Linked DNA regions of Tribolium castaneum. The protein of the gene in region 1 purifies or fractionates together with the protein of each later gene. This does not show direct contact. Links are inferred from orthologs where the notes say so. Each region holds a gene or a part of one and is shown in the gene's direction. Other genes may lie near its edges. The genes, in order: Tsr1, LTV1, RIOK2, RpS23, bys and RRP12-like protein.

Evidence for each region.
Region 2: the proteins of Tsr1 (region 1) and LTV1 purify together in Homo sapiens (co-immunoprecipitation; 4 studies listed by BioGRID and IntAct, counting the BioPlex papers as one, with this or other methods). This does not show direct contact. The link is inferred for Tribolium castaneum from reciprocal best matches to the Homo sapiens genes TSR1 and LTV1.
Region 3: the proteins of Tsr1 (region 1) and RIOK2 fractionate together in Homo sapiens (co-fractionation; 3 studies listed by BioGRID and IntAct, with this or other methods). This does not show direct contact. The link is inferred for Tribolium castaneum from reciprocal best matches to the Homo sapiens genes TSR1 and RIOK2.
Region 4: the proteins of Tsr1 (region 1) and RpS23 fractionate together in Homo sapiens (co-fractionation; 3 studies listed by BioGRID and IntAct, with this or other methods). This does not show direct contact. The link is inferred for Tribolium castaneum from reciprocal best matches to the Homo sapiens genes TSR1 and RPS23.
Region 5: the proteins of Tsr1 (region 1) and bys purify together in Homo sapiens (affinity purification with mass spectrometry; 3 studies listed by BioGRID and IntAct, counting the BioPlex papers as one, with this or other methods). This does not show direct contact. The link is inferred for Tribolium castaneum from reciprocal best matches to the Homo sapiens genes TSR1 and BYSL.
Region 6: the proteins of Tsr1 (region 1) and RRP12-like protein purify together in Homo sapiens (affinity purification with mass spectrometry; 3 studies listed by BioGRID and IntAct, counting the BioPlex papers as one, with this or other methods). This does not show direct contact. The link is inferred for Tribolium castaneum from reciprocal best matches to the Homo sapiens genes TSR1 and RRP12.

The regions. Positions count from the first base shown.
Region 1 is NC_087398.1:15,011,579-15,014,695, forward strand, and holds the end of Tsr1 (pre-rRNA-processing protein TSR1 homolog), read left to right. Parts: intron 1-1,770; coding exon 1,771-2,347; intron 2,348-2,404; coding exon 2,405-2,553; 3' UTR 2,554-2,617; downstream 2,618-3,117. UniProt on the Homo sapiens protein: Required during maturation of the 40S ribosomal subunit in the nucleolus.
Region 2 is NC_087396.1:13,992,899-13,997,165, reverse strand, and holds the start of LTV1 (protein LTV1 homolog), read left to right. Parts: upstream 1-1,467; 5' UTR 1,468-1,618; coding exon 1,619-1,621; intron 1,622-1,699; coding exon 1,700-2,051; intron 2,052-2,097; coding exon 2,098-2,414; intron 2,415-2,461; coding exon 2,462-2,767; intron 2,768-4,267. Other genes in the region: Pngl (peptide-N(4)-(N-acetyl-beta-glucosaminyl)asparagine amidase), read left to right, coding at 1-80, 132-314, 366-978, 1,029-1,190, 1,238-1,413. UniProt on the Homo sapiens protein: Essential for ribosome biogenesis.
Region 3 is NC_087394.1:23,768,422-23,772,530, reverse strand, and holds the start of RIOK2 (serine/threonine-protein kinase RIO2), read left to right. Parts: upstream 1-1,309; 5' UTR 1,310-1,401; coding exon 1,402-1,467; intron 1,468-1,516; coding exon 1,517-1,658; intron 1,659-1,705; coding exon 1,706-2,084; intron 2,085-4,109. Other genes in the region: serine/threonine-protein kinase SBK1, read left to right, coding at 131-1,151. UniProt on the Homo sapiens protein: Serine/threonine-protein kinase involved in the final steps of cytoplasmic maturation of the 40S ribosomal subunit. Involved in export of the 40S pre-ribosome particles (pre-40S) from the nucleus to the cytoplasm.
Region 4 is NC_087397.1:10,542,711-10,545,685, forward strand, and holds RpS23 (small ribosomal subunit protein uS12), read left to right. Parts: upstream 1-1,155; 5' UTR 1,156-1,285; coding exon 1,286-1,289; intron 1,290-1,603; coding exon 1,604-1,763; intron 1,764-1,918; exon of another isoform or gene 1,919-2,021; intron 2,022-2,088; coding exon 2,089-2,287; intron 2,288-2,340; coding exon 2,341-2,409; 3' UTR 2,410-2,475; downstream 2,476-2,975. Other genes in the region: zinc finger protein 184, read right to left, coding at 1-230, 580-663; PRADC1-like protein, read right to left, coding at 2,782-2,975. UniProt on the Homo sapiens protein: Component of the ribosome, a large ribonucleoprotein complex responsible for the synthesis of proteins in the cell.
Region 5 is NC_087398.1:4,030,195-4,033,701, forward strand, and holds bys (bystin), read left to right. Parts: upstream 1-1,478; 5' UTR 1,479-1,564; coding exon 1,565-1,699; intron 1,700-1,744; coding exon 1,745-2,216; intron 2,217-2,261; coding exon 2,262-2,920; 3' UTR 2,921-3,007; downstream 3,008-3,507. Other genes in the region: kto (mediator of RNA polymerase II transcription subunit 12), read right to left, coding at 1-371, 425-974; Tango11 (transport and Golgi organization protein 11), read right to left, coding at 3,080-3,507. UniProt on the Homo sapiens protein: Required for processing of 20S pre-rRNA precursor and biogenesis of 40S ribosomal subunits. May be required for trophinin-dependent regulation of cell adhesion during implantation of human embryos.
Region 6 is NC_087395.1:23,545,583-23,549,082, reverse strand, and holds the end of RRP12-like protein, read left to right. Parts: intron 1-1,603; coding exon 1,604-1,860; intron 1,861-1,909; coding exon 1,910-2,064; intron 2,065-2,113; coding exon 2,114-2,582; intron 2,583-3,135; coding exon 3,136-3,238; 3' UTR 3,239-3,287; downstream 3,288-3,500.

The DNA.
Region 1 (3,117 bases):
TTGTCGCTAAACTGAAAGTATAAATAAGCCACATTCCAAAGCATTTTATTTTAAAGCATCCGTTAGGTAGTATTTCACAAGATATCGTCTGTCTGAGTAATGTCTGTACTTCGTGAAAAAAATTTATAGACAGAAGAATAATATCGAAGAACCTAATTTGATACAATAATAAACGATCGTCTCTTATTTGTTGTATTGTAAGATATATTGGTAAAAATTGGTTAATTGACAAAACAGCCATTCCATTTTAACGGGACGGGGCACACAAATTATTATTAAATTTTATTTTCAGTTTTGATGAACAGCAGTAGAGGTGAATTTTTTTTAGGAACTTAGTATCAGTCAAATTTTTTGCAACCTACAATTTTTAATTTTAAAATACGGACAGGAAAAATAATTACAAATTGATGACGGACGGTATACAAAAAGACCTCACATTTTTATCGTTGCACAATCCTTATAAAATTCTGTTAATTTAAAAGTCACTAATTCCAACAATTATTTTTGAAATAAAAGGTGAAACCTGTTGAAGCTTTTGAAATCACAAAACCGAAGAATAAGGCAATGTGCAACGCAACGACTTCTGATTAATTTACTTTTTGTTTACACATGACGGACGGGACAAAAAAATCTTATGCGTGAAATCGCTCTAAAAAATTTATTCAGTCAGGTTTTAATTAATAAAGACTTTAACAATATTAAAATTAGACAGTGGAAATAAAAAATTCTTGGTTTTGTTTAACAATGTAAGAAATAAGACCAACATTTTATTTTTGTGATTACGGACGGGACAACAAAAGTTATAAAGATAGAAAGTAATGTTACTAACCAATTTACTGATCAATTTTCATTTTCTAAACTACCAGAAACTAAAAAATTACTCTTCAAAAAATATTCAACAGTTGTAGTAACATATACCGGGTGCTCAAAAACCGGCGCACCAACTCAATGGTGTGTGGTAGAGAACTGATTACATATAAAGGTAAAAATAGTAAAAAAAATCTTTGTATTAAAATTAGTGATAAATAACGAATTTTAAATAAATGATATCTGGCAACGCTGTGTAACTGTCGTGGTCTCAATAGAATTTGATCAACAATAAAAATAAATTATTTTTGAAATGGTTTCCTAGGAAATAATTTCCAGTGTTGGCACATCTACAAATTGTGATTTTTTGATGAATTTTATTTTTTTGATATTAAAAAAAATTGGTAAGGTCTACTAGTAAATTTAAAAATAAAGAAAACTGAAGAAGTTAATGACCTAAGTTTGTAGCTGCGGATTTTTTAAAATACGACTTTAGGAATTTTTTCATGATTATTCCCGTAATCTACACATGCTTCTCAACACCGTACCACTGAGTTGGTGCGCCAGTTTTTGAGCACCCTGTATAACGACAACGTAAAATTCTGACGTTATCGTTATATGTAAATTTCAGAATCCAATGAATTACTTCAAGTTAAATTTAAATTAAATTAAAATAAATTAAATTTATCCTATCCCAAAAACACTTTAGTCGCAAAATACATTATATCGAAACCGAATCGTGTATTTTGAAAGAAACTTCACATCACTAAAATCACTTTGAAATTTCGGGGTCAGATTGCATTTGCATTTTTATCCATTTGCATCTAAATCTTAAGTTTCTTTTTTTTAGTTAATTTTGATAATACTAATTTTCGATGACTCGACCTATTTTACCCCCTGTTCGAGTTATCGAAATTCGACGGTATTTGGGTATGTGTATTTGAGTCATGTGTGATTTTGCAGCCTGGATGGTACATAACTGTTCATATAAAGAACGTTTCACAACTTTCCTGGTCCAACTTCGGGAAAGTTGGCGCCCCCTTGGTGCTCTTTGGGTTACTACCCCACGAATACAAAATGTCAGTCATTAACGTCGTCTTGAAACGAACCCCAAACTACTCTCTCCCAATCAAATCAAAAGAGCGCTTAATTTTCCAATGTGGCTACAGAAAATTTGTCACAAATCCCATATTCAGCCAACATACAAACGGCCAGAAACACAAGTTTGAGAGATATTTTCAACCGGAATCAACAGTTGTTGCCACTTTTTACGGCCGAATACAATTCCCCCCTGCGCCCGTTCTGTGCTATAAGGAGGAAAATGGGAAGTTGGTTCTAGTTGCGACAGGAAGTTTGCTTTCTTGTAATCCCGACAGGATTATCTTGAAGAGAATTGTTTTGTCAGGACACCCGTTTAAAATTTATAAAAGATCAGCGGTTATAAGGTTTTTGTTCTTCAATCGTGAAGATATTATCTACTTTAAGCCTTGTAAATTGAGGACGAAAATGGGACGTGTAGGGCATATTAAAGAACCTTTGGGTAAGTCTTTTTTTTTTTTCATCAAGTGTAATTATTAATTTTTTGTGGTTATTTTAGGTACACATGGACACATCAAGTGTATTTTTGATGGACAGTTAAAATCGCAAGACACCGTTCTTCTGAATTTGTACAAAAGAGTGTTTCCTAAATGGATCTACGAAGATTTGGTGGTCAGTGTTGCCAGTAACGAAGAGATGGAAACGTGATTATTTTGATGCAAATAACTTTCATTTGCTGTATATTTATAATAAATAAAAGTGCTGAATGGAATGATTTTTTATTACAAGTTAATTGATTTGATTTCCATATTTCCTTCGAGTTTTTTTTTAAATTTAATAAAATTCGCTCAAAACCAGCTAAGAGTGAAAAAGGAAAATATCATTGATTTCAGCTTATTTAAAAAAAATTAAAGACGTGTTTTTTTCAGATCTAAAATAACATCTATTTTGATCTAGTTTGGTGATTTTTCGGTTAGTTTTATCGATTTCTCAAAAAACCTTAACCAACGAATTAAAATACCGGATTTTTGACTAGATTTAGCAAAACATCGCAAGGTATACAATTCTTTATCTTCTTTATTGGTTTATCGGGTTTTTTTTTGAAAAATTGAATTTTAGACTGAAAAATAGAGCAAAATTAATGACTTTCGACCTTCCATTAGTCCTGTTTCTACCGCGTTTAGAAATCTCCAGCAAAGAAAGATGTTTTCCACACAAAACGTGTTTAAACGCTCAAAATATTTTTGGGTAATTTTGGCTTGTTTTTAACTG
Region 2 (4,267 bases), on another chromosome or scaffold:
GTGAGAAATGCGGGGGAAACACTGCGATGTCTCACATGAGTTCGGATAAGACCGATTTAGTTTATACAAGCAGGGTTGAAGTACGTTTTAATATTCCCAATTTGTTATTTTTCATTTAAAATAATTTGAAGGTCTACAAATGTAAAACTTGCAACGCATTTACTAAATTTCCCCGTTTTAACGATTTAAATATCTTATTGGAGACTCGAAGAGGGAGGTGTGGGGAATGGGCAAATGTTTTTACGTTACTTTGCCGCTCTTTGGGGTGGGATGCTCGCTATGTGGTTGATGAACTTGACCACGTGTGGACTGAAGTTAGTTTTTTTCTTTCCATAATAAATAACATTCACAATTTATTTTTTTAGGTTTATTCAGTTACGCAAAAACGTTGGGTTCATTGCGACTGCTGCGAAAACGCATGTGATACGCCCCTAATGTACGAAACAGGGTGGAATAAAAAATTAACATACATTATAGCGTATTCTCCTGATGAAGTCCAGGATGTCACCTGGCGTTATTCCAGCAATCACAGAGAAGTTCGGACACGAAGAAACAAATGTTCAGAAGACGAACTTGTGAATGCCTTAATTACGCTTAGAAATGAGCGCCAGAAGTCATTTAGTGCACCTAAACGTGATTATTTAACGAAAAGATTGGTTACTGAGTTGATAGAATTGATGGTGGAGAGAAAAGCGAATGATAGTGAAAAGTTCGGCCGTATTTCGGGATCGAAAGAATGGAGAAGTGCAAGAGGGGAAATAAAAAATGAGAACATGTATGTGTGGATTGTTCCGAGTAAACATATCGTTAATAATAAATTGACAATTAAATATTCCACCGCGTTTGATAAGTACGAGTTTGTGAAGGGGGATAATAGTGTTTTGGGGGTAAACGGCTGGCAATATGGTGTCTATGATTTCAGTAATGTGTTCAGAAAAGAAGAGAAAGATTGGAAAACGGTTTATTTGGCCCGAAATGGTGCGATTTAAACCAATTGTTTTTTCATATTATTACTTGACAATTTTTAGAAGGGACCGATCAAGGGAGTATATCATGGAGATTCGAATTAGATAAAGGGGTTAAAAAGTGTATAGATAACTTATCATTAAAATTCAATTATCAACTATACGAAAGTGGAGTCGTACAAATACAACTAATTTCCGATGATAAATGTGTGGATTTTCCAAAAAGTATCAGTTAAATTGTTTTGTTTTATTTTTTTAACATTTATTTGTAGCTGAAGGGGCTCTAGAAACTCAGGCATTTTCGGGAGTGAGGCATTTTACAATTAAGGCAACTTTAAGTGGAGGCAAGGGCAATGTGGCCTGGCAGCATGCCCAATTATTCCGTCAGTCCAGTGATAGCAAAGATTTTCCATTTGTTCTTTCTGTAACTTTTAGAAACGTTGAGTAAATAAATATTTGTTACAATTTCTGTTTTGTATTAAAATAGAAAAAAAGTTATAAAACATAATTGACAGTTCTTTGTTGACACGTGCAGACATAACCTAATTTTTTATCATTATTTAACTTTTCCCAACTTCGGGAGACTATAAAAGCATCAATTTTGTTGGAAAGGGTTTCTGTGAATATTTTTGCAAATATTGATAACACAGAAAATGGTAAGTTGGTGTTATATTAAAGTTAAACTGAAGAAGTACCAATTTTGGGGTTATGTTTCCTAACCACTACAATTTTAGCCAAAGACACGGAAATTTATCGATAAAAAGAAGGCGATTACCTTCCAACTGGTCCACAGAAGCCAGCAGGACCCCCTAATAGCGGACGAGAACGCTCCTCAGAGAGTCCTCGTCCCAATACATGAGAAAGAAAAACGCTTGGAGGAGCAACATAAATATGGAATTTACTACAACGACGACTGCAACTATTTGGAACACTTGAAAGACTCCAAAGACAATCAAGTAGAATGGCCCGACCATGTGGAAAAGTCTCTCAAAGAGAGAAGGGTCAAGCTGGACTTGCCTGCCACAGTTTTTGCCTCAAAACATGAGGAAAAAGAGGGAATGTTGAGCAAGGCCGCTCCAGTTTCAGGTTTGTGTCGAAAAATGCTTATTTGTGGTGTAAGTCTGGGTTGTAGGGCCTCAACTTCAATTGGACCCTGATTTGGTTGCGGCAATGGACGAAGATTTTGATTACTCAGATCCTGAGAATCAGTTGGAGGATAATTTTATTGAGTTAGCTGAAGGTGTTGCTTCTGATCAAGAATTTGATGATGAGTTTGAAGTGGAATCTGATTTGGGCAGTGAAGAGAGAGATGAAGTTGGATCTTTACCAGACTCTCAACTCTCTTTCAACGAAGAAGAAACAAAGTCAAGATTTACAAGTTATTCCATGACTAGTTCTGTTATAAGGAGGAACGAGCAGCTCACTTTGCTCGATGATAGATTTGAACAGGTAATTGGGCAACGAAAAATTGCGAAAATATTTTTTGTTGTGTCTAGATGTATGCTGATTATGACGACAACGAAATTGGGGCTTTGGACTGCGAAGAGATAGAAGGGCATGTACCTGAAAGCTCTGACATACTCCTACAATATGCCCAAGAATTTGAAAAGAGCCAACAAAATGAAAAATTAGATAAGGAAGTTATAAAGGCGAAAATTGATGAAAGCTTAACTAAAGACTCTAAAAGTGAGGAGGAGATGGTGTACATGGAAGTACCGCAGAAGGAAAAATGGGATTGTGAGTCTATCCTGAGCACCTACTCCAATATTTACAACCACCCAAAACTGATCAAGGAACCAGCTGTAAGTAAAATACCATGCCTTCAATTAAATTTCTGAACAGATTTAATTATGGTAATGCGAACGCCAGTCTACACTTAAAATGATTAACACATGAGGAAATCAAGTCTACAAAATTTATTGATATTACTGTGTTACGCAACTCGAAATAAACATGAAAATTACAAAAGTCAATAAAATCAGTTAGTGAAATGCAAATCAGAAGCCTGCAGTCTTCAAAAATATGAGTTTTATTAAAAAAAAACACGGTTCAAGTGGGTCACCGATAAAATTGTTATTTTTCCCAAATTATTGTGAAACATCGTAGCTTTTCATCATTATCCTGTTATCTCGGTTCCGCAATTCACACCTGATTGAGTAAATAAATATTTTTCTCATGCTGCAACATAATAAATAACTTGCAAATGAGAACCGACCCATTTCACAGCACTTTTAAAGCCTACATAATATTTAAAGGTAGGTACTTTATTTGATTGCTGTAACAGTTTCTGTTTTCTCAAACGTGAGAAAATTAAATTAAAATGAGATCTCGCTACTTTGAATAAAACACACTGAAAATAGGACAAGGGAAAACTGGAAATTTTAATGCCGTTATTTAAATTTACTCAATTCACGATCGACCATGAACTTTTAAACGATTTTGAATTTTTTAACGCGAAATGCATTCAATTTAAAATTGTTTGTTGGTGTTTATTTTTAGAAATGGACGTTTTGCTTATTTATTGGCCAAAAGCAAATAAATTGTGTAGTTGAGATTTTTATTTAAATATTCAATCGATTTTGAACTCTAATAACAATGAATGAGTAGTTACTAATTATTCACAGGAACTGATATGCCTACACACTTTTTTATTTTTTTCGTGTTAAAGTCCAACGTGAGTCAGTGTCGAATTTATAAATGTAATAATGGTGGTTTTATATTGAAAATTGTGAGTTACTTGATAAGAGAATAGAATTATTTGAATTAATTGAATTTTAACCGAAAATAATGCAGCTATTATAAAAGTTCATGACAAACTTTTCTATGGATTAGTACACCAGGGATTTCGTTCATTGTATCTCCTATTGGAAACTTTTGAGAGCTTCTATCTATTATATCAGTCTCATTTGCGTCGCTCTTTTATTAAAACTTTATCAAAAGGGATTTGATAAAACAAGCGTGTTTTTTTCTTTTGTAACTTGTATAAATAGCAAGTGACTGCTTAAGTCCTTTGTTTTTAATGTACAGATGTTCAGTAATAAATATTATCGTATTTACTGGTTTAGTCACATGAAATTAGGTAAATTAAGAACTTCTTTGTTCGATCACTGGAGAGGTTGTAGGTCACTGGATAGATAATACAGGAAGGGTCATCAAAAAGTGATTTGTAATTTGCGCACTTTTTGATCACTCCAATTACCGCGTCTTGTTAGAGATATTGCGCAAGATTTTTATTTCCGTGTATTACTTGTATTTTTGTCGCGATAGTGTAGTTTCTGTGTTTGGTAATTGTTTTGTTTACA
Region 3 (4,109 bases), on another chromosome or scaffold:
CGAAAATACTAAGAAAAAATGTTGATTGGCAATAGATATCGCCTGGTTTCTTCTAATTTTCCTGATTTGTCCAAAATTTCTTTAATTACTTAAATTACTCCATTTTTCTAAATTTACATTTTTCTCACAGGACCAACACTAGTCACGACGTTTGGCAGTTTGGAATTGTGATATTTGTGTGTTTGACCGGGTGTCTTCCATGGCAGAAAGCCGCCCCTGACGACCCCCGGTACTCCAGGTATATTTCCTGGCAAAGCAGCACTATTCCACTGAAAAGACAGCCAAAATTGTTTAAACTGGTGTCGTCCAAAGCCCAAAAACTCTTCAAAAAATATTTAGAACCAAAACCCGAGAAAAGACCAGCGGGGCTTGCCGAAGTCCATCGATATTTGGAAGACCGCTGGATGTCCAAAGGCGGGATGGAGAAAACGAGCGAGTTGCCGGATGAAGAGGAGGGGCTTTGCCCCTCAATGTACAGCTTCCACAGCAGTCCGGAGGAAAAAAATAAACTACTCTTCACCCTAACCCAGTACGGACTTGAGACAACCGTTGACCGAACGGCCAAAAAGGACCGAATCCGCCAGTGGATCCAGTCGAGTGTCATTGAGGAGGAAAACGAAGAAGAAATCGAAGCACTGTCCGATGAAGAAATCGGCCCTGAGGGGGAGCGAAACGAGTCGCGCGGACCTGTCTCAGCCCCCAAAACCAACGGCCTCGAAACGGACAAAACCAGCCGAAGGAGAGCCTCAACGCTCAGTCTTCGCAAAGTTCCGGACTTTTATATCCCCCCGATTGACCCACGAATCCCCCTTGAAGAGCAAAAGGAGAAAAACGTGTCTCGCAGTCAAATCATCAAGACGAAAGACAAGCCGAAGGACGAGTTTTCAATAAGCAAAGCGTTGCCATTCCAGAACTTACAAGTGGTGAACTCACTGTCATCACTTGATTCCAGTGATAGTAGCACAGTGAAGCACCACAAAATTAACGTGCAGTTGCCCCAATCGGAGAAATACGTTTATGGGGCCACCCCTAACGGGGTGAGCAACGGGGTGCGCAGGTCGCCCCCTGTTAACGTACGAGGGGCTGAAAAGATGTACAGGGCGTACTCGGCCACGGAAGTCCGAGGGAATGGACATTACTCAAGGAAATAAATGCTCAAAACGTGACTGATTGTTATTTATATTTGTACATATTAACGTGTTATTACCACATTTGTATCATGGAGTGATTAATAACTAGTCCTAGGCCAATTTAGAGTAAAAAATGTTTTATTTAAATTTGTTCTTTAAATTTTGCCCCCAAAACCTCTTGGTGATTTTTGATTTGGAACTAGAAACAATCTCAAACCTTGCAAATGTGTTGATGCAATTGCGTGAAAAATAGTTAATTTAAGTGTTAGAAATGGGGAAATTGAACGTAACAATAATGCGTTACCTCACCGGTGAGGATTTCCGGGTTCTAACAGCGGTAATTTGGCGTTTTATCTTGAATTTATTTTCCTAACCTCACTTTTCAGATTGAGATGGGCATGAAAAACCACGAATTGGTTCCGGGCCCCATGGCTGCGTCCATTGCGAATTTGCAGCACGGCGGTGTTCACAAATTGCTGCGTGATTTGTGCAAGCACGGATTATTGAGTTACGAGCGGGGGCGCAAATGTGGGTTAATGTTTTTGCAGACTTCAGGTTTTATTTTATTATTTCAGACGATGGTTACCGCTTGACCAACATGGGGTATGACTATCTGGCCCTCCATTCGTTAACAAAACGCGACGTTATTGGTTCTTTTGGAAATCAGATTGGGGTGGGGAAGGAGAGTAATATTTATATTGTTGCAAATCCTGAAGGAGAGGAAGTTTGTTTGAAGTTGCATAGATTGGGACGAGTGTGTTTCCGGAATGTTACGAATAAACGAGATTATCACAAGCACAGAAAATCGGCGTCTTGGTTGTACTTATCAAGAATTTCAGCCACTAAAGAATTTGCTTACATGAAGGCGCTGTATGATAGGAAGTTTCCAGTCCCTAAACCCATTGATTTTAATAGACATTGTGTCATCATGGAGTTGGTCAAAGGGCGGCCCTTGTGAGTTTTTACTTATTTTAATTACTGGTCAAAGTTGCTTTGGAATTTGAAATTAAGTTGGCAACAGTGCCAAATTCAAACGTTACACTTATCCCTAAAGTGTAGTAACAAAATTCCTCAAACTGTGTAAATAAAGAAGAAAACGTCCAACTGGGTAAAAAGTTATTGTGACAACATTGTAAAAAGAGTATCAATTAAGACGATTTCTAGGGAATACATAATAATTATAAAATAAAATTGTTAAAAGTAAAAACAACAAATAAAAATAATACGTAAACAATATAACATAAATTAACTTCTTTTTGATGAGTAAATTCGTTTTATTTTTTTTTTATAACAATTGTCAAAGTGAATATTCTCTCAAACACCTTAAAACCTTTAGTTTCGGAACACTTGTATCGAAAAAAATCAAGTTTTTATTGTTAAATATCAGAAAACTTACAACGGGGTTAAGGAAATTTTATTTCAAAAGACAAAGAATTCATAATGATAATGATACGGTTGCCAGCCTAGTAATCATCAAATAACTAGTGGGTGAAAGAGGCTCATACCAATATAACATATATAACATATAACTCATACCAATATAACAACACTTTAACAATTGATTTAAAAATAAATTTAAAGAATAAATAAATTAAAAATAAAATAAATGTAAAGAATAAACAGACTAGGTGTACTTACACTTTTACTGTCTCCCTTTTATCACATTTTATGATGAAAACAATGATACTAAAATAATCGTTGTTGGAAAAAAAACTTTTCTTGTTTTTAAAGTGAGCATCTGTGTCAACAAATTTTCGGGAAAAAACAATTACAAGCAAGTAAGCCTCTGTAAGATAAAAGATTAAAAATTCAAGTTTGAATAACGTTTTCGTTCATTATTAAGAGGTAGAGGATATTATCTTCCCTTTTTTTTTATAATTAAAAATCCAAGAATGGCAGTTTATTTTTAGCTGGGTATCCAGAGTCGTTGCCTAATGTTAACTTGAAATAAATCTACGGTTTTGATATTTTTACTGAAAACTAAAAGAATTTCTAAATTATGTAAAATTTTTTTCTTGTTAAAAAATTCCTAGAGCTGGGAAAGATGCTCTAATGTGGCATCTCTGGCTGGGATGTGTGTCAACTGACACAATTTTATCTCACTAATTCAGTATTACCAACTTAATTTCAAAATCAGGGGGCACTTTAATCAGACATTTATTTAACCAATATACATGTACTAAAGTTATTTTCTCACGTAGATGGGTGCTGAAAGTATTTTTAAATACTCTAAAGTATTTTTATTACAGGAGTGTCCCAAAATTAGCGAATTCTGAGTTCAGAGCATCTCAAAACTAATATATCTCAAAAACTAATAGTAGGAGAGAAATCAGCGTTTGCTTTTTTAATTTATCCACCTTTCCTGATAATTAAAATTTATTAATTAAAAATATTAATAATGATAGCCCCAAAGTTACCTCTATTTCCATTTTTATTTAATTATTTTTGGGGCTAGAAACATTTTTTATGAATTTTTTGCACTAAATGCTTGTTCTAAAATGATTCCTAAATTAATCTTTTGCCACGAACTTATAATTAATAATAAGTATACAAGTATTTAATAACAAACTGGAAATTTGTGTGACTATTATTTCTGGGGTATATTAAAAGTATACTTCTAGCAGACCCACCTTGTATAAGTGTAAAAAATAACTTTAGTGCTGAAGTGTTACCTTACGTTTTTTCTGAACCCGTATTTTTTAAAATTTTTGATGTATCCAAGGACTGTCTTTACGGACGATTTTAACAATGACAATAGAAAAACAAATTTTACCGACTATTTTGGGTTGTTTTACGGACGATTGCGGCAAGCATTTTTACAAATTTATGACTTACAATTTTGAAAACTTTATGTCTCCAAAAGTACTACTTTTTTCTGACTATTTTCGGTGACTTGACGTAGTATTGCGGTTACTTTATGGAGGATTGACCCCGACAAAGTTCTTACGAACTACTTTGCGTTACTTTAGGGCAAAAAAA
Region 4 (2,975 bases), on another chromosome or scaffold:
GCACGCTCTGCTTCGTCTTTTGATACCAGTCTTACCGTTTGACGCGGAGATCGAGAGATGCTTTGTACTTTCGTGTCGTCCTTCGAGGGGGAATACTCCTTCTTGAACAGCTTTATTTTGATCTGAGGCTTTCTACTTATCGGAATTATGGATATGTCTGGTTGCACCGTCTTGGGATGGCCATTATTCGACGCCGAGTGCACGTCCCTGCTCTTCACGCAAGTCACTTCCTGGAAAAGAAGGAATTTTCAACGTTAACTTAATTTTGAGTAAAGGCTTCATACACGTATAGCAATCTTTAGGAACTTAATGTTAGATTAAATCTGATTTAAATAGGTTTAAGAATAATGAGGGCAAAAATTGGGGGCACGCCAACAAACAAACAATCGAGTATCAAATGTCATTGTCATCAGTAAACAGTAATCCCAGCCTTCTTAGTTGTCTTAAAACATATTTTAAAATGGTGGCAAAAAGACGATAAAAACCCTCAAGAAAAAGTTATCGACTCTAGAGCGAAATGTCCCCATTTCTTTGAATTTAGCACGATATGGGGGCCCCTGTGTTAGTAATCAAACTCACTTCTTCGTCTTCACTGAGTTCATGATTAATGATCACGTCAGGCTCCAAACTTCTGTGAAAATCGCGTTCTTGAGCATTTTCCATGTTCAGTCCCGTATCTGGAATAAAACAAACATTGGGAAATCATTTTTCTAATAATAAGCCGCAAGTGTGCTTTTGTTTACGGAGTGTGTGTTATTTTTGCTACTGTCAAAAAACGCAAAATAAACAAACGAGTAATTAGATTACTATGAAAAGAAGGCGTTGATAATTACCTTAATTGTTAGAAAATCCGGAGCAAAAACGTAAAACACGCAAACATTATAACTTGGTCCAGAATAGAAGTACAAAAAAAGCTATACAGCCAAGAACTCGATAGGTTGCTTAAAAAAATATACAAAAAGTGCGCTTCGAACTGTCAAAAATCGCTTATCCTCTTCTATCACAAAAAAATTGGATCGATTTCAGTCCACTACCAACACAACGGCGACAATGACCCCACTTTCTCAAAAAATCGGATTCGAAATTGGGGAATAACACGTCCAATTGACACGAAATTGCAATTAGCCCACTGGCAACAAACCGGAAACGTAAATCCGGGTCCCGGATCGGGCTCCTATGCCCCAAAAACAACGATCCGTTTCGAGGCGTTGCCAACGTTCGGGCCTTACATGGCGTCAGGTTGGCATTCCTGGGCCTCTTTTGCCGAAGTTTTGCAGCAACCAACATGGGTGAGTGTCACGCACTGGCGTAAATAAATACGTTTTTTTCGCGTTTTGGTCGTTAAATTTGCCGTAATTATCCGAATTCCGTTAATTTGTGTGTCGCCTCATCAAATTTCATGGGCCACAAGTGACTTTTCGGTAACTTACCCCCAAAAATATCGATTGTAACTTCGCTCGCTTTTCGCTCCCTTGAAATAAATCCGTTCCATCCTCTTGCTAAACACATGCAAAACTGCCCTTTTTTTCGGTAAATGTGATTGTGGGAGTTTGTTTGGCGTCGTTGTTTTCGTATTTTTCTAATTCATGTTTTTGTGTTTCAGGTAAGCCCCGCGGTTTGAGGACGGCTCGTAAACATGTGAACCATCGTCGTGAGCAGCGATGGGCCGACAAAGACTACAAGAAGGCCCATTTGGGGACCCGCTGGAAGGCCAATCCTTTCGGGGGGGCTTCGCACGCCAAGGGAATTGTGCTTGAAAAAGTGTGAGTCTCTTATTTTGCTACAAGTGCACTTTGAGACAACTAGGCACTCCTTTGATGCCTTAGTTTAATTTTAAGAGTGCTAGATTAAAGATGGTACTCTGAACCATTGGGAAGTCAATTCGGTTGACTTCACGCTCTGATATGTGTGCCACAGTTCAAATGGGGTAATTGGCGCCCTGCGCAGGATTTGCTTGTGAATGGGTGTGCTTGATTCAATCACAGGAAAATTCTGTGCGGGGAGTTGGTTTTGTCACCACAGGCAAGTTAATTTTGTTTGTTAAAATCATGAGAGGAGTATGGAGACGAAATGTTACTGTTTTTGCAGAGGTGTTGAGGCTAAGCAACCCAACTCCGCTATCCGTAAGTGTGTTAGGGTCCAGTTGATCAAAAACGGGAAGAAAATCACCGCTTTCGTCCCTAGAGATGGTTGCTTGAACCATATTGAAGAAAACGACGAAGTTTTGGTCGCAGGTTTCGGTCGTAAAGGTCATGCCGTAGGTGATATTCCCGGAGTTAGGTTCAAGGTATAAGACAGCAACCCCATAAAAACACACATCTCCAATTTTATTGCTTACAGGTTGTCAAAGTAGCCAACGTATCCCTACTAGCGTTGTACAAAGAAAAGAAGGAAAGACCTAGGTCGTAATTTATATTTTGTTAATTTTTACATCTTGGATACTGGTATTTTAATAAAATTCCGGAATTAAGTTAATGTTTTGTCTTAATCCCTCACTTGCTCCCTACTTAAGAATAAAGACAAACGCAAGAACACCTTAAAATTTATTCAATAAATACAAGTGATATGTACAAACAATTAAGACAGTAAATTCTTAAAAAATTATTGCTAACAGTTGACTAGAGGTGAGCAATTTTTCACACATGGCACAGACGTGGCCATTTAAACAATACAACCCCACACCAGTTAATAACTTGTTTGGCAATAAATAAACATAAGTACAGTGTCCAACTGGGGTTAACAACTGAGGAACTTGACCCTGATTTGTGTTTCATTCACTAATTACCATCCTAACCACGGTGGTTGATTCATTTCATGTACTGGTGTGAAGGTTAAATTTACAGGTAAATTGATTATTGCATACGATCTTTTTAACCTTTCCAGCGTTTTTGTGATCATAATACCGTTTTTGCCCATGAGAAAAGCCGCAGGTATGTGAACTTCATCAGATGAGTCATCATCAATCATCTCAATAA
Region 5 (3,507 bases), about 11 Mb from region 1:
AAGTTTTTTGCAACACAAATGCGCCAAACGTCGCGATAACAACTCAGATTGGACGAATTCGTCCAAATATTGCAAACATAAAGGCATCAAAAGGCGCAAAATGCCGTCATCGGACGGTTGTGACCTCATTTTTTCCAAAAGTTCGAGAATCCAGGTCAGGACTTCTTGCCTGTCCATGAGGCCCTCCTCATACATGTATTTGAGCAACTGTGTGCAGTAAATCCAATGACGCATTGCGAGTTTTTGCTCAGTTTCGGTGGTCGCAGCCTGGGTCAGAGAAGGGGTTTGAGGGGGCTTTTCACCTTGGGAGTAATAGTCTTGCAGTTTGAGGATTTGTTCTTTGAGGAATTTTAGCATCGTTCCGGTCCATTCTACAAGAAATTGTAGTTAAGTGTAAAGTTAATACAAGTAATAAAATAGAGACCTGTAGTCGGGTCTGGCATTTGCCGTTTTTTGATTTTGGCCTCGGACACGGCAACTGTGTAAGCCGAACTCAACTTGATAAACCAGGCGGCCCGCATCATAGGCACCTGATACTCGCACAGCATTATAAAAATCTCCTCTTTCTTGTTGAAATTGGGCGCTTTTTTCGACAAGTGCATCAATGGTTTGTTCCCAGCTAGATCCTTAAACCAGAGTTCTATGGCATTTTTTGTTCGTATTGTGGCGGGCCAGAAGTTGTCTTTGGGGTTGATTTGTTGCCGCTTCCTGCCGGAATCGGGCAACATGCTCAACTCCTCTTTGCGTTTGATAATGTCATTGAAATAATCCCCGACTTTGCTTGCCGAAATATTGCAGTTTCTGGCCGTTCCAAATTCGTCGCTTAAGTGGGTCATTGTCAGGAACCCATGTTTAACGTTGACACTCGTCAACTCGTCTTCTTTTTGCTTCGGTTCTTGCGGGTAAACGTCCGGAGGGCCGATTTTCGGCTTTTTCAAAGGTCGTTTTTCGTACAAAAGGCTGCTATTGAACATTTTGGCACAATTTGGGATTGCTATTATTTTGAACACTGACAAGGGGGCCTTTAGGCAGCTCCAATGTAACGCATCGCTACAATTTAATTAAAATCTCGACCCCGGGGGCTTCATTGCGGGGGAAAGTGCCAACACCTAAACGAGAGGATGGGAGCTAATATTTCAGTTTTTACACCGATTTAGACAAATAAAAAAACGACAAAGTATTGAACAAGCATTATGTAAGCTTAATTAGGAAAAAATGTAGTGATAAATTACCGTTTTGACGAAATAAACACACTTTTATGCACCAACAACACAAGTTTTGAAGATGGTGTCCTCCATCTTGACCTCTAGGGATAATAAAAAAATCCCTGCTAATTGCTTAATTTTATCGAATTTTAAACTAATAGCGCAATAGTTTAAAAAGCGAATTTTTAGAAAATTAATTTTGCAAAATATTTTACCCGATTTGACCCAATCTCGTACTTAATGCTGCTGTTTTCCAATTTAATTTTAAATTGCCAATGTCGCCAACCCAAACCTCTGACAAGTCCTTTTAGGTTACGTCCAGATAGTTTGAAGACACGTGTGGTAAACAAATAGGGATAATGGGCAAAGCAAAGCGCCTGAAGCCGTCTCAGATGGGCACCAAGGTGCCCCTGGACCAGGACATCGAGGACGCGAAGTTTGCCAAGTCGAAAAACCGCAACAAAATCCGTCTAAGACAAGACGACGATGAACAAGTTTGTATCGCTTTATGATTGTCTAAAACCAATAAAAAATTCCAGTTTGTGGACTCGAACCTCTCGCGGAAGATTCTCTCAGCCGCCCGAGAGCAGCAACGCGAGCTGGACTCAAGTTTCGGCCCCACGCCGTCCGAGGCAAGTTCAAGCAAGTTTAAAGTGTCCAAACTGGGGGACGATGACTCCGAACCGGAAGAGGAAGACACCCTCGAACCGGACACGTTTTACGAAAACATTGAAATCAATGAAGAGGATGAGAAAGCTTTAGAGAAGTTCATGAGTAGCAATCCGGCCCCGAGACGCACTTTGGGGGATATTTTGGCCGAGAAGTTTACCGAAGTTAAGACGCATTTTAGCGAGGAAGGCTCGGTCAAAATGCAGGAGTTGGACCCACGGGTGGAACAAATGTATCAAGGGGTGAGGGATGTTTTGCGGAAATATAGGAGCGGCAAGTTGCCGAAAGCGTTCAAAATCATCCCCAACTTGCGGAATTGGGAACAAATCTTATACATCACGGGTAATTAAAATCATTGTTGATGCCCAGCGGTTAATTAAGTTTTAGATCCGCCAAGTTGGTCAGCTGCTGCCATGTACCAAGCCACCCGTATTTTCGCCTCAAACCTCAAGGAAAAAATGGCTCAGAGGTTCTATAATTTGGTTTTGTTGCCCCGAATTCGCGACGACTTGGCCGAATACAAGCGACTCAATTTCCACTTATATCAAGCCTTGAGGAAAGCCCTGTTCAAACCTGGGGGCTTCATGAAGGGAATTCTCCTACCACTGCTTGAAAGTGGCGATTGTACGCTCAGGGAAGCTATTATAATAGGCTCAGTTGTCGCAAGAAACTCTATTCCTATTTTGCATTCTTCTGCCGCGATTTTGAAAATCGCGGAAATGGATTACACCGGCGCCAATTCGATTTTTTTGCGTATTTTCTTCGATAAAAGATACGCGTTGCCGTATCGTGTTGTGGACGCAGTTGTGTTCCACTTTTTGAGATTCGAGCGAGATTCCAGGGAATTACCCGTTTTGTGGCATCAGGCTTTCCTGACATTTGTACAAAGATACAAAGCTGATATTTCAAGCGAGCAAAGGGACAGTTTATTAGAATTATTAAAGAAGCAAAACCACCACGCTATCACACCAGAGATCAGAAGAGAAATTCAAAATGCGAAATGTCGAGACGCTGAAACCGCCGAACCAAAAATGGACTTTGACTAAATTAATGGTTACATAATTGTGATAATTATATTGAAAAAAATCGGTTACAACAAGACTATTAATAAAAACTTGGAAAAATTAGGAAAATTATGTTACTTAAACCAGAACTAATTAACGTCAATACGATTTGTTCCTAACTTAGGGATAAACTAGTGCTCCCTAATCTCTATTCATCCAAATAATGACTTTCAACAACAAATAAGCGACTCCAAAACCAACTAGAAACTTCTCCTTTTGGAGCCGGCTCAAGTTTTCTAATTCTAAGGCCATCACACGTCTGTTGAGCTTCGCCATTTGCCGCCTGAGGTGCAGCACCTCTTCGGCGGCCGTCAGCCTCTCGCCGCTGCCCCCGATCGGGGGCGTAGTCTCGCGTATCGTCAGATTCAAATCCGAATCATCAAACGCCTGTTTTTTCTTTGGTTTAACCACCGGAATCTGGTTCAGTTCCGGGTCCTCCATCTCCTCAAGAGTGGGAAAGGGGTACTTGTCCAGAGTCAAAGTCCTGGGCGGGGTCGCAACCCGCACATCCCCGGGGTACGGTTCTGGGGGAAGGATCGAGTTGTCAAAGACAATTTCGCGTGGGGGCG
Region 6 (3,500 bases), on another chromosome or scaffold:
AACTACTAATCGGAGAGCAATGATCTTTTTTGGGAAAAATAGATTATCAAAAAAGCCTTCCAACGATATTAAACTTACTGGGGTTAAGTCTAATAGTTCCGGAGTTATTACCCGATGAATGTCAAAAACGTGGTGAAAAATTCACACACTTACTTTTCAAACGATGATTACGACAAAACTATTTGAAAAAGTTAAATTATTTTGACGTAATCTTATGTAAAATGAGCTGGGAAATCGACTAGCGTCAAGAAAATTGACAAATTCTCAATACTTTCCAAATTATGATTTTTTTCCATTTCTTGCAACTTTCTCGAAAACTACTAATCGGACAGCATTGATCTTTTTTGGGAAAATTAGATTATCAAAAAAGCTTTCCAACGATAATACACTTCATGGGGTTAAGTCTAATAGTTCCGGAGTTATTGCCTGATAAATGTAAAAAACATGGTGAAAAATTCACACACTTACTTTTCAAACGATGATTACGACAAAACTATTTGAAAAAGTTAAATTATTTTGACGTAATCTTATGTAGAATGAGCTGGAAAATCGACTGGCGTCAAGAAAATTGACAAATTCTCAATACTTTCTAAGTTATGATTTTTTCCAATTTTTGCATTGGTTTGCAAATTTCTCGAAAACTACTAATCGGAGAGCAGTGATCTTTTTTGGGAAAAATAGATTATCAAAAAAGCTTTCCGACGATATTAAACTTACTGGGGTTAAGTCTAATAGTTCCGGAGTTATTGCCTGATAAATGTAAAAAACATGGTGAAAAATTCACACACTTACTTTTCAAACGATGATTACGACAAAACTATTTGAAAAAGTTAAATTATTTTGACGTAATCTTATGTAAAATGAGCTGGGAAATCGACTAGCGTCAAGAAAATTGACAAATTCTCAATACTTTCCAAATTATGATTTTTTTCCATTTCTTGCAACTTTCTCGAAAACTACTAATCGGACAGCATTGATCTTTTTTGGGAAAATTAGATTATCAAAAAAGCTTTCCAACGATAATACACTTCATGGGGTTAAGTCTAATAGTTCCGGAGTTATTGCCTGATAAATGTAAAAAACATGGTGAAAAATTCACACACTTACTTTTCAAACGATGATTACGACAAAACTATTTGAAAAAGTTAAATTATTTTGACGTAATCTTATGTAGAATGAGCTGGGAAATCGACTGGCGTCAAGAAAATTGACAAATTCTCAATACTTTCTAAGTTATGATTTTTTCCAATTTTTGCATTGGTTTGCAAATTTCTCGAAAACTACTAATCGGAGAGCAGTGATCTTTTTTGGGAAAAATAGATTATCAAAAAAGCTTTCCGACGATATTAAACTTACTGGGGTTAAGTCTAATAGTTCCGGAGTTATTGCCTGATAAATGTAAAAAACATGGTGAAAAATTCACACACTTACTTTTCAAACGATGATTACGACAAAACTATTTGAAAAAGTTAAATTATTTTGACGTAATCTTATGTAAAATGAGCTGGGAAATCGACTGGCGTCAAGAAAATTGACGAATTCTCAATTTTCCAATTTTTTGTTATTACCCCATGAATGTCAAAAACATGTTGAATTATTTTAGATCAAGGCTTTGTGTTCGATGACGGACGATTGTAGCAGACACTTCAGGTTAAAAATCCGCGATATTTTAAATAAGTTAGTGAGGAAATACGGAAGTGAGTCAATCGCCCCCTACATACCTGAATCGAACACAGTTATGTACAAGAGATTGAGAAACATTCGGAAGCTTCTTGCCCGAAAGAAGCGACAGAAGGAGGGACAAAAAGAAGAGGACGGAAGTGAGGATGAAGAATTTTTGATCAAAGCGAAACCGAAGAGGTTTAAAAACACGAAACGGGCGACTTTATACTTATTAAAAAAATTTTAGTGTTGAAGAAATTCTAGCGGACTCCGATTCCGAAACCGAAGACATGGAAACCGACCACAAAGTGGTCAAGCGAAAACAACCGAACACCTGGATTGAGGAAGATCCCGAATCAATCGTCGATTTTACCGACCCGAACGTGGTCAGTAAAATAACAGGTGATTGGACCTTTCTCTTGGTTTTTCCCCGACTGTTATTATTTTTCAGCCACTCAGCCCGGCTCTGCACCGTTCTGCCCAGCCACCTCGAAAAAACCCAAACCGGGGAAAGACCGCGGTTTTAAGACCGCTCCAGACGGCCGACTCATTATCACCGATGACGATTCGTCAGACAGTGATTCAGACAAGAAGAAAAATAAAATCGATTTTGATTCTGATTCAGATTCGGAAGTTGACGATAAAAGCGTGGCCGAAACTCTAGTTTTGAGTGATAGAAAGCGCAAAAGAGCGGCAAGTGTTAAGAGTGGAGTTAGTTCAGTTAGTCAGCCTCCTGCGAAGTATAAAACTGGTGGAATTGGCATACATCGGGCCACGAGTTCGGCGTCCGTCCGCAGTGGCGCTAGCAGTGTCCCTGGAAGCGAATACAGGGGCAAAAGGGCCAAAGGTGATGTTAAGAAGAAGGGCAAACCGGACCCTTACGCCTACTTGCCCTTGCGCAGGTCTGCCATCAACAAAAGGTGAGTCTAAAAGGGCGGAGGACTAAAACTAGGGGGCGAAAAGTTTCAATTAACTTTGATTCGTTCATGAAAAAAATTTGAGGCTTGAATTTTACAGATTATGATGCCCATTTGTTTACGCATAAGCAATATTTCAAAATTTCGTAATTTTTATGAGAATCTATTTTGATAAATGAAACAAAAATAAAATAAAAAAAAGTTTTTTTGTTCTTGTCTTATTTTATAAGCTGCGATTGTTTTTTACAATTCTCCTTTAATTGACATGACAACATGAAACCTAAATAAATCACACCAACTAAAGCAAGAATTGTCGTAATTATTATTTTTTTATTTTATTTTTGGGTATAACTTTGTTTAAGATTTTTATTATTTTTTTGTATCTACCAGAAAGATAAAACGATGTACTATCAAAACACTGAAAAAATGTTATCTCGTACCATAAAGTTGTGAATGTTGTACTTTGTTTTAACCGATTTTATAAGCCTTTGATTTCTGCCTCCTAGTAGTTAGTCCTCCGTAGTTTGAGTGGGTTTAGCTGATTTGAAACTTGTAGAAAAAAGTCGAAGGCAGCAGGACAGTTTAAGAACATTATCAGGGGGGCCAAGGCCGGGGCCTTGAAGGGGGCCAAAGCCAAAAGAAATCGCAATAAAAATTGATTTGTTCTTTGTACCAGCTTGTGATAGCTTGTAATAAAAATTAAGCGCACTTAATATATTTTTATTCCAGACCTAGAATTTCTACAATAAATGAGAAAATAATAGATTGATTGAATGAATTCAAACAAATACTCACTTAATTGCGATAATTAAAACTATATAAAAAATCTCACTTTGTACAAATAAAATGTGGAAAAAATAATTGAGAGAACAATTTGTTACTTTCCCTGTTTCGTATCTATGAAAGCAATCGAGTCATGAG